Coturnix japonica: one gene and its partner. Each later gene encodes a partner of the first gene's protein in a complex. Links are inferred from orthologs where the notes say so. Each region holds a gene or a part of one and is shown in the gene's direction. Other genes may lie near its edges.

Region 1 (6,220 bases):
CATATGTGTCACCTCTGAGAACGGCTGGTTAGCTTAGGAAGACAAGCACCAAAAATACCTTTGTTCTAAGCTGCAAATGTTAATAGCTCAGAAAAGCTCTCTTTCCAGTGTTCTTTATTTTATACATCCTGTAATTGAGACAACCTGTATTATTAACTTAGAAGATGGTTTCTATTACCTGATGTCATTTTATCCACTCCTGCATGTCACAAAATCAGCAATTACCAACACAGAAATTCTGAGGTGACTATTTTATTAGTACAAATAATAATATACAATTTTTCCTGTGAATGTTTTACACCTCGGCATGCCTTATAAAGCAGCTAAACATCTATTTTACACAACATAGTCATGGTCAATAAACTAAGACATGGCCATCTATATTATGTCTGCCTGGATGAACCTTATTTGAATCTTTGAGTTAAATACCTTCGTCTTATCTTAGAAAATTCAAGTCATTCATCTTCCCCCACAAGGTGATATATGATCTCCTTCACACACAAGCTGAGCTCTTGTTGCTAGAAAGTGCTCTCTAACCATGGTTAGACAGCCCCTCTTCTCATGATTATGGGCACAATTTGGACCGTGTAATTTGAAGACTCCACCCTAACTTCTCCTGCTTCTCCAGCTTCCTTCTGAACTGCTTCTGTTTTCCAGATACCACTCTCCAAATATTGTTCCTCCTGCAGTTTTATTTCTTACCTTTTTTCTTGTTGTAAACTCCACAGTAGAAAACGTTCTGTGTCACTTCACACAAGGACATGCTACAGTCTATGTTTACTAATAGTTTAAAACTCAGTTGAAACAGAATGGTACTTGCAGGTAATGTATCTCTTTATTAAACTCTGTAGTCTGTATTTACATCCTTGTCCTATAGAATATGGCAGTCTACAAAGTGCAAATAGCTGATTTCTCTTAATAAGCTGGCACTGGAATCTCTCTACATACTTCTTAGCAACACTATAAGAAATATTATACACTTGCTGGAAAAAACAATATCCAGCATCATAAAGAAATGTGGTAAATTCCAGTCGTAGTAGTTCTGAATACTGCCAGGATTTGCAGTTCAAATTTCTTTAGTTGTTTGCACTTGTGGCTCGAGTTTCTGGGGTTTGCTTTTGGCTACGTGGAAAAATATTTAAACTATAGGAGGGACCTGTGGAGGTCAGATATTCTAGCCTCTCACTCAGAGAAGTCCTATCAACAACAAAAGATTAGGTCAGACGTCTTTCTGTTCAGCCAAGTCTTGAAAATCTCCAAGGATAGAACGTTCATGATCTCCCAGGCTCCCTGTTCCAAAATACACTGCTTTCCTAAAGGAAAGCTCTATACCAGCTTAGTGAGAATATAGATTATTCAGCTTGACATCTAACTTACCAAGTGATCTCCCTTGGATCTCACCAATGGAAAGCAGTGAGTTCTTCAATCAAACAAACAGAGGAAGGACTTAGACCCTAAGAATTTTTTCCAGAGGCAGGTCTGTCTTCATCACAATAGAGTCAGTTGGGAAGACTTGAGCAGCTTCCACCTTAGGAAGCCCAGCACTAGGCTTGCTATATAACAAATGTGTAAAATGTGTAAAATATGATATCCATCAAGTGTTATATGAAAGAGAAGAAAAATCTACTGTGCAATTAATTTATCTTGAAATTTGGTACTTAGAAAAGATTTTGTCTTTGCTAAGGGTTTTATTTTCTTCAACCCAGGTATGGTGACATGGTGCCGAAGACAATAGCTGGCAAGATTTTTGGTTCAATATGCTCATTGAGTGGGGTCTTAGTGATTGCTCTGCCAGTTCCTGTCATTGTCTCCAACTTCAGCCGTATCTACCACCAGAACCAGCGAGCAGACAAGCGCAGGGCACAGAAGGTGAGATCCTCAATTTTTCCCCTTTTGATACTGACAGTAGCATAAAGGTAAATTTTTATGTGTCTCAAAAGCGAGTATGATTTATTACAAATATGACTGCTATATATACATTACGTGCCAAGCCAGAGTTCCAGATGCAAATGCTGTGTTAATTTTAATTTAAATAAAAATGGTTTGTTTATCTTTTTTTGTCAAAATGTACAGATGTAATTACAGATGTAATTCATCCTAATTGTTAGACCAGATCTACTGTTTTTAGGCAATAACTGTAGTACTGCCTACTGAAAGCATTACTTTTCAGCAAGACTTTCTTTCCTCAAGAGTGCTCTGAGAAGAAACACAAAAAGAAACACACACACACACAAAAAAAAAACCACCTAAAACCTAAACATTACTTCTAATGTCTATCTTAACAGCCAGTTTCACTAATCCACTTCTTTAATTCCCAGGTTAACTCTCTGGGGAGTGACTATTGGGAACTTGTCTCCTTGGCACTACTTTGCTTAAAAGGCTTCAGAAAAAGCTGAATCGGGAAAAGACAAAAACAAAAGATTGTGTTGTTTTTTTTCAGCTTCCTTAGTGACTGATATCACTAAAATATCAACTAGTTCTATGACAAGACATATTTTCCTCACTGACCTACATGCACAAGTCAAGAATCAGGAAGACCTATTTGCCAGGAAAGATGCAGCCATGACAGAGCAGCACCACTGTTTCCATTCCACATCAGAAATGCCAGTCCCAATTCACTTTACTCAGCCTTCTGATGAGAAATGTCTTATACGGCCTCTCTTGACACCTGAAGCCCTGATAAGGGACTGCAGCTGATCTGCTGTTTACTCTATGGAAAAGGTTCATCAGCCAGTGGTCGCACAGGTTCTGAGCAGTCCAGTGAGAATAGGATCCCTGCCCACAGAGGTGTACAGGATGGTCATGGCTGTGAAATTCACATGTTGACCAAGGGAACAGAGGCTGAATCTGCTTCATATAGACAACAGCAATTAGAGACTATAAAATGAATAACAAAAATTTGTTATTCCTGGTCAACTTTTTGACTGATGACTCCATAGAAAGGAAGTGAAATAAGCAAACGGTGATATAATTCTTGGAAAATCTTAGAATCATGAGAAACTGAGGTACACTGCCAAGAAAGTCAGTCATAGGCTTGGGATAAAGATGTTATATCCTTTAAATAGCCATGTCTTGAAAGACTTGGGAAAATGGCTACCAGAGAGAACAGTGGTATCCCAGAGACACTTAGAAACCTGATTTCAAACACAGGCTGTATTAGTGCTCCAAGTATCATATCTCCCCTATCTACTAATTACACACATCCTTTTGCATCTTGTTTTGTCCTGTGTCCCAGCTGTATACTCCCTTCTCCCACAACCAGAAAATGTAGAGTACATAACTTTTAAACTACACTGCTTTTGTAGAGAATTTTTCATTTATATAACGTAAATGCGGTAAAGAGTGAAAGAACTGTATGTACCAGCAGAACACAGTGCTTCATTACTATGCCTCAGAGCATTGTGCCAGTCATGGATAACAGATCTGCTTGATCCCAGCAATCAATGTGCCTGTTCTGAGCTTTCATGACTGCACAGACAACCAACTTCAGATACACACAGCCTCCTACTGTATAATGTTGAATAAATTTTTCTATATCTGATTTGCACTTTACAGTGAAAAAGAGATGGAAATTGGAAAATACCTTACAAAAATTAGATCAGCAGACTGGTGGATATTCCCTACAGTCTCTTCTTGAATAGAAACTGTTTAATAACCGACTTTCTCTCCTTGAAAAACAGTGAGCTTATTGTATGTCACAAACAGGAACGTGAAGTGATGAATGGCAATTCTGCAAAATCTCGTTTCCTCCAGTCCTCAGAACAATGCCAAGAGTAAGGATCACAGATTTACTCTGACCAGGTTTATATCCTTCTTGCTTTAGAATTAAAAAAAAATAATAAAAATGGCTTTAAGGTCTGGTTAATGTAGCACTGGGTATGTTTCACTCATTTATTCTATTGCAAAACTTATCTTCCCTCTCATTTTAAAATGACTGAGAGGATATGAACCGAGTATTGCTCTGAGGGACTGAAGGAAAAGTCAGCAGAAAGAACTTACTGAATACTGCACAGCCTGTATTTATCAATATTTACCTATGAAGTATAGACTTGAATTTCACAGGCGAGCTCTAATACCTTCGTATAAGGTGTTCAGGCCACCATGTTGGCTGCAAGCCATGGTCATACCACAGCATGAGGCACTGAGGTGATGGCCCTGCCCAGCCTGTCTTCCCTTACAAAGCCCCCTCCCATTTTGCCTCCCTCATTTGGCTGTTGGCTGCAGCTCAGCAGAATGTCCTGGCAGCAGAGGTGCCTGGTCTAGCAGGTAGAGATGAGCAACGACATTAGTAAGAGAGTACCACCACCAGCAGCACTGTGACATAAACAAGCCTTTATTTTGAATTGAGAAAGATCCAGTGCCTTATATCTGTGCAGAATCCCTACCATCTAATATTCCCTGACAACGTAGTGCCATTCAAGGAACTTGAAATGACTCCCTTTAAAGGTGGCTATTATCATGGGAAAGAGATCACAAAAACTACCAGTTGCACAAAGCTTAGCACCCAATGTTACATTAGCGCCTGCCAACCATCCAGCCCTCCAGCAGGCCAGTTGTAACCATGGATTCTTAGGTGGAGCTCTGGCAGTATTCTTTCTTACAGTTGGGTTTGCAATCTTTGCCTATACAATCAAATACGTACTGAGAAACACAGTTGCAAGAACAAATAGAAGAAATCCAAGAACAAATTAGAGGTAGTTTCTGAGTGAGTGACACTCTGAGCGTCTGACTTTTGACTCTGGATAAACTATATTTTTAATTCATTTTGACCCAGGAAATTACAAGCCTGTCAGCCTGACCTTCATCCCTGGGAAAGTGATGGACAACTTATGTTCAAAGTAGAGCATAAACCCTTGTAAGAGATGGTACCTCCTGTTTGCTTCAAGAGGCTTCCATCTAGCTAAGAAAAGCGGATACTGGAATTGTGGAAATTCCTTTATCAATATCTCATAGATAAATTCAATCAAGGTAACCTTTACCATGGATAAATTCAATCAAAATAGCCTTTAGAAATGACCAAACATTTGAGCCGTAAGGAAACTTGATAGAATTCAATGACATGCTTGGAAACTAATCTCAAGGAGATAGGAGACTTACTGAAGATCCATGTGACCACCAACATATGTATTTACTGAATTCTGCACTGTCCTTCAAGATTAGAAAATAAAATAATGCTGCACATTAATGTTTGAGAAAAGAAGGAATTTATAAACATGTAATCTCATTTTGAATGCATTTTAAAGGAAAATCCTACTTCTAATTATGAAAATGCATTGTTGTAAAAGAGACCCCAATATAAACAATAAGTGAAAAATATACAAAAAAACAACAACAAAAACACTTTCTGTGCTTATCAGAACATTTTTCTCTACCAGCCTTTGATATCCAAGAATCAGACCTTATCTGGCAATAGGGAGATATATAGTCCAACCTACATACAGGAGTTAGCACTCAGGGCTTAACTAATTATTGCCTACAGTCCTATTTTGTTTTTACCTCAAGCAGATTTATTAGAAGTGTAGACAGTTTTGAAGAATGCTGCTTTTCTCAGCTAGAGACAACTGCAGGAGGTCAAGTTATTTTCATTTCTCATCAGTGCCTTCAAGTGGCAAATTTAATGACAGATGTGTTGTGACTGGTCCATACGGAAACAAACAGACGGAAACACAAATGGAAACACAAACAGAAACATGACAGCTAGCTCCAAAATCTGACTTAATGCATACAGTTCTGATTCTTTCATATTATTGTCTTCTACTTTCACATTGCAAAATACTTCGTGAAGATTGGCTGGGCTCGTATTTCATTATTTACTGGTTGTACATGATGTATTTATCTGTCAAGTAATAAATAATCAGGTACTAGATAAATATAACTTTAGGAAAGGAAAAATTACAATAACTGCTTAACAGCACCTAGCAAGCTAAAGCCAAGCTCTTGCAATAAGGAACCATGCTACCAATGCAACTTATTTTAGCTTAGAGTATTAACCTCAGTGAAATTGTAGAGATAATCAGTGGAATAGCTTATCTAAGATCTCTGAAATTCAGCACAAAAGCACTTGAGTTTACTGAGTTTGAATAGAGTGTGAAAGCAAGGTGCAACTCATGAACCTTTTTAATTGCATATCCACTAACGTACAAAGTAAACAGCATTTTCCTTTCTACTGCACACTGATGTTCTATAAATTATTTTCTATAATGTGAAGTTAACTATTAGC
Region 2 (5,055 bases), on another chromosome or scaffold:
ATCCTGCCCCTGAGGGTCTGATCCGATGGGCTCTACACCCACCTCCCTTCTAGCCTGCTCCCGGTGTGTTTTACCCCCTCCAGCACATTGGAGAGGCTCCGATGGGATGCACGATGGCGGCTGGACCTGGCTGGGGGCAGTGGGGCCACCCCCTCGGTGCCATTTGAAGGGCTGGAGGATGCTGCTGGAAGCTTTGTGTTGGAGATGTAAAAGGGAGGGAGAGAGATGAGTAGTGATAGAGCCCCCCCAGCCTGCCCTGGGTTATGCTTTGCCCTTAGGGAGACCACAAATGGAAATAATCAGCATAAGCTGATCCCCCCCCCAAGGGAAGAGGTGAGTATGAGGGGTCAGAGTCTGGGGATCCAGGGCCTCTCAGGGTTGTAGTGGCGGCCCTGGTTGCTGTAGGAATGGGGAGAAACCATAGCTGAAGATGGGGCACAGCAGGCAGAATGGGGGATAGACAAGGCTGGAGGGGGTGTTTGGAATTCGGGTCAAGAAGATCTTCTGCTAGAGACAAACCCCAGCACAGCACAGACCTTCAGGCATCCAGGATCTCAGCTCTCTGGGGCAGATGATCATGCCAGGGAAGAGCAGGTAGGGTTGTGCTCCCTCCTGGAGTACACCTGGCTCCAGCTGAGCAGGACACCCCAGACACCTGCTGTCCTGAGTGGAGGTGTGCAGTGTGAAGCACACCTCCTGCCCCCAGCACTGCGGGGCTGGGCAGGACAGCATGGCTTCAGCTGCCCTCTCTTCCCCCAACTTCCTTGCAGACAGTGTCGAGGATGAGTTTGAGCTCTCCACCGTCTGCCACCGCCCCGAGGGGCTGGAGCAGCTCCAGGAGCAGACCAAGTTCACCCGCAAAGAGCTGCAGGTCCTGTACCGGGGCTTCAAGAACGTGAGTAGCTCTCACTCCTCCACAGCTATGCACCCCTTGGGATGCTTTTGCATCCTGTTGTCACACTCTGAATGGCTACAAATGGCAGCAGTGTGGATGCAGTTTCCCTTGAAGCTTTGGGGGGGTTCCCTAATCCTGGGATTTAAGGGCAGAGAGCCCCAAGCATCACACCATTCCCCATGCTAATGGTGTGTCCCCTCCATTTGCCCTGGCAGGAGTGCCCAAGTGGCATCGTTAATGAAGAAAACTTCAAGCAGATCTACTCGCAGTTCTTCCCACAAGGAGGTGAGTGTGAGTCCCCCCCCCTGGTGCCCCATGTGGGGCTGCCTTCTCTCTCACTGTTTGCCTCCTCCAGACTCCAGCACGTATGCCACCTTCCTTTTCAATGCCTTCGACACGGACCATGACGGCTCTGTCAGCTTTGAGGTGAGCCAAGGAGTGGGACAGGCTTTGCCATGTGTGCCATGGGCTGGGACTGCCATGGGCAGCTGCTGAAGGACTTTGTTAGTAGGAAAAACAGTGCAAAAGCATCAACAACAGAAAGAGTTTTGTAGTTTCTGGTTGAGGGAAAAGACTCGTGGCGTTTCTGTGGGGGTATCACTCCAAAAGGTGACCACCTGCTTTGCAGGACTTTGTATCTGGGCTGTCCATCATCCTGCGAGGCACCATCGATGACCGCCTGAACTGGGCCTTCAATCTCTACGACCTGAACAAAGACGGCTGCATCACCAAAGAGGTGGGAGAGGGGTCCAAGCTGAAGCAGGTCTGCACCCAGTGGGGATGAGGGCAGGGCTCAGGGCATTTCCTTGAGGATCTCATGGGTCCTTTGGGGGTATAATGAACAGCATATGTGTGATGGGAACCAGATGGAGGCAGAGCTGCTCCACATTGCAACCCTGCCTTCCCTCCAGGAAATGCTGGACATCATGAAATCTATCTACGACATGATGGGCAAGTACACGTACCCGGCCATGCGGGAGGAAGCACCCCGGGAGCACGTGGAGAACTTCTTCCAGGTGAGCTGGGTGCATCTGTGGGGACCCTGCATGCAGGAAACACTGTTCTGGGGACAAATCAGGGCTCCAGTGAGCAGCCTGCCTGGGACAGGGTGGGATTCAAGCCCAGAAGTGCTCTCTGTAAGGGCTTTGGCAATGGCTACTCTCTCTGCTTTGCATCTGACTACCATAGAACCTGGGCTGGGGGTGCTGGGCTGTCCCCATTCCTTCAATGCCCTCCATGCTGTGCTTGTCTACAGAAAATGGACCGAAACAAAGATGGTGTGGTGACAATCGAGGAGTTCCTGGAGTCCTGCCAGAAGGTAAAGCCATGGGGCTCAGCACAGCATAGCTGGGGCTCTGCTCTGGGAGCCATGTTTATGCCATCATCCCTGTGTGGGTGGGGAACAGCACATCCCAGCATGGCCCTTGTAAGCCTTGGAGCTCCTGTCCTGTGTGTCAGAGCAGCTGGACGAGATTATCCATGGGGTAATACCAGGTTTGGGGGAGCAGCCCAGAGTGCTGCTCTGTGCCCAAACACTCCTCCTCCCTGCAGGATGAGAACATCATGCGGTCCATGCAGCTCTTCGACAACGTGATTTAGCTGTCTCCAGCTGAGCTCTCCTGACACCAGGCTCAGAGCCTGCTCCTCTCTCCACTTCTCCTTCCAGCCCTTCCTGCTGCCGGCTGCCATGCAGAGACACAGTCGGCTCCTGGATGTATCCTTCCCCCAAGGCCAGACCCACTTTCCTTGGGAGGCCCCACAAAAGTGCCACCAGAGTGTGGGCACAGCTGGCACGGGGCATCTGGCCTGGGTGGGCTTCACACACCCGATCCTAAAGGGAAAGCCTCAGCCTTGGGCTGCCATAGGGGCTTCCCTGTGCCCCCACATCATGTCCCCGTCAGCAGCCCCAGCACCGGCTCCAGCCCAAACCCTCCAGCAACACTTCTAGGAACTAAGAGTCTCGCAGCAGGCACCTCAGCTTCCTCTTGTGTCCTGATGTGGGGACGTGTCCCCCTCCTCGCTCACTCAGGGTGCTGGGCTCACTCCTGTCTGTTACAACAGCTGCCTGGAGCTGGGTGTGCACTCCTGTCCCACCTACGTATCCCTCCAAGTCCTGTCTGGGGCCTAATGTCTCTACACCAAACTCCTGCTTAGCCCCACCGGCTTCAGGTCCTATCCCGCAGATTGGCCCAGCTGCTCCCACCGCTGTGTCCTGAGGGGTAGCAGTGGCTGGGATCGATGGGGAACGGGCGAGCAAGGCTGTGCCCCACACCAGGCTGAGCCCTGGTGTCAGACCCCCCATAGGGCCCTGAACCTCAGCTTTGGGGCAGACCCTGCTGGGTCCGCTCCAGGCCTGGCTTGCGTAGAGGCGATGTGTTTTTTAGCTCTGTCCACCACACTGTTCATCTCACAGCCCTGCTCCTGGGCGGGACAGCAAGTACCCCATCCAAATAACCCATCCAAATACCCCATCCAAATACCCCATCCAAATACCCCAACCAAGTGCCCCATCCAGGTACCCCATCCAAGTACCCCAACCCCATCCCCTCCCGTCCCCCCCCCCTCCCTCACTATGCATTGGCATGGCGTGACCCCCGCCCCAGGGCATGGTGACCCACATCCCGCTTGGCATCTCCAGTCTGTATATTTTGTATTATAACGATAGGATGGGTTAATAAAACAAAAAAGACGGGGGGTGGGAGGGGGCTCAAACAATAAAATCTATCCACGATCGCTATGCACATTGCTGGTATCGCCCTCTGCCTTTGTTGGGTGTTTGGGGGGGAGATGGGGGCTCCATCGTTGCGCATGCGCGTACCCGCGGCGCGTCCGCGGGTCGTCACTGTGCGCATGCGCACACCCGAAGTAAACACTGGACTTCCGCGCCGCTTCCCTACACAAAGCGCACTGCGCATGCGCCATCTGCCACCATGCGCATGCGCGCTGCCCCGCTGCCGCCTCTCCCCTCCCCCGGGGCCTGTCGCGCACGCGCATTAAGCACGCTCCAGCCGCCCGCGCATGCGCAGTGTGCTGCCGCGGCCTCGCCCCTCCCCCCGCCCGCCTGTTGAGCGTGCGCACTGCGCTCTTTTCCACCTTCGGCGCATGCGCGGTAGGCGGGCTCTCCCCTCAGCCCGCCAGTTCCCCGCTGTGTCTCGCTCCGCTCTGCCCGTTGTTGTTCCCGGTGGGTTGAGCCTTCGGGCCGCGCTCCGTCTGCCCGTTCCCGGTTTCCCCCGGCCCCGCGGGCGGCGCTTCGGTTCCTCAACGAGCTGCGGGCGGAGCGCTGAGGACCGGTTGGGGCCGGTTGGCCGCGCAGGCGCAGGGCCCCGTAAACAGGAAGCGGCGGCGGCGACAAAGGGCTGCGGGGAGGAGGGCTCGGCCCGGACACAGCGCGGTCCTGGCGGCGGGCGGCAGGATGGCGCACAAGGACGGGCAGGCGGCGTTGGACGAGCCCCAGGGCAGCCCCAACCCGGCCGCCGTGCCCGGAGCTCCCTTGGAACCCTCGGGAGCCGCCACGGGGCCCGTCCCGGGGGGTGAAGAAACCGACACGGAGACGGAGACGGCGCTGGGATCCCGCCGCTTCCTCTGCGGTGTGGTGGAAGGTGAGAGCTGATGGGGGGGCCGACATCCCCGGGGCCGTTTGTTGGGGGGGTTGCGGGGAGCAGGGCCCCATCTCCTCCCTAGGCCCTGAGCTGGGGGCGGGGAGCGGCCTGGCCTGGCAGCTGCTCGGTGGGGCTGGCACCCACTGCGGGCCGAGGATTCCTAAGGGAGGCCGGGGCGGCGCGGCTGCTGCTACGTGTTAAAAGGGGGAGGAGGGAGGGAAGCGCTCCCGTGCGGTTATCCCAGCTGGACGCACGCCGGGGGGGCTGAGGTTTGGTTACCAGGGTAGGGAATAGGTGATTGCAGAGACATCTGTTATGCGATTAATATCAGATGCTCCTTCAGTCCTGCAGTGTTAACGTTTTAACAGCGTTATAGAGTGTTTCTTTTACATAATTTGTTGTGGAGGTTCTATTCAAAGGTTTTAAGTCGTTCCAGAAGCTTCAGAAGAGAAGGGCTGTTTTTCTGTTCCGCGGTAACTACAGAATTTATGTGTGTTTTTGCTGAATTGGTTGAAGTAGATGGTTGAAAGCCAGCGAGAAAAGTGTTTTTGTTCCCTACTT

Evidence for each region. Proteins that work in one complex are often made in the same cells at the same time.
Region 2: the proteins of KCND2 (region 1) and KCNIP2 are in contact, whole or in part, in a cryo-EM structure (PDB 7UKH), measured with the Homo sapiens proteins. The link is inferred for Coturnix japonica from reciprocal best matches to the Homo sapiens genes KCND2 and KCNIP2. Residues at the interface, in NP_036413.1 of Homo sapiens: Val5, Ala7, Trp8, Leu9, Pro10, Phe11, Ala12, Arg13, Ala14, Ala15, Ile17, Gly18, Trp19, Met20, Pro21, Val22, Ala23, Ser24, Gly25, Pro26, Met27, Pro28, Ala29, Pro30, Trp55, Asp57, Arg61, Arg100; in NP_775283.1 of Homo sapiens: Arg112, Gly113, Phe114, Asn116, Glu117, Cys118, Val123, Phe128, Ile131, Tyr132, Gln134, Phe135, Phe136, Tyr144, Leu148, Phe152, Phe165, Leu169, Ile172, Leu173, Arg180, Trp183, Ala184, Leu187, Tyr188, Met201, Met205, Ile208, Met211, His228.

Annotation. Positions count from the first base shown.
Region 1 is NC_029516.1:21,151,788-21,158,007, reverse strand, and holds part of KCND2 (potassium voltage-gated channel subfamily D member 2), read left to right. Parts: intron 1-1,706; coding exon 1,707-1,869; intron 1,870-6,220. UniProt on the Homo sapiens protein: Voltage-gated potassium channel that mediates transmembrane potassium transport in excitable membranes, primarily in the brain. Mediates the major part of the dendritic A-type current I(SA) in brain neurons.
Region 2 is NC_029521.1:19,821,863-19,826,917, forward strand, and holds the end of KCNIP2 (Kv channel-interacting protein 2), read left to right. Parts: intron 1-770; coding exon 771-895; intron 896-1,110; coding exon 1,111-1,180; intron 1,181-1,250; coding exon 1,251-1,321; intron 1,322-1,523; coding exon 1,524-1,631; intron 1,632-1,806; coding exon 1,807-1,911; intron 1,912-2,150; coding exon 2,151-2,213; intron 2,214-2,446; coding exon 2,447-2,494; 3' UTR 2,495-3,638; downstream 3,639-5,055. Other genes in the region: OGA (protein O-GlcNAcase), read left to right, coding at 4,308-4,494. UniProt on the Homo sapiens protein: Regulatory subunit of Kv4/D (Shal)-type voltage-gated rapidly inactivating A-type potassium channels. Modulates channel density, inactivation kinetics and rate of recovery from inactivation in a calcium-dependent and isoform-specific manner.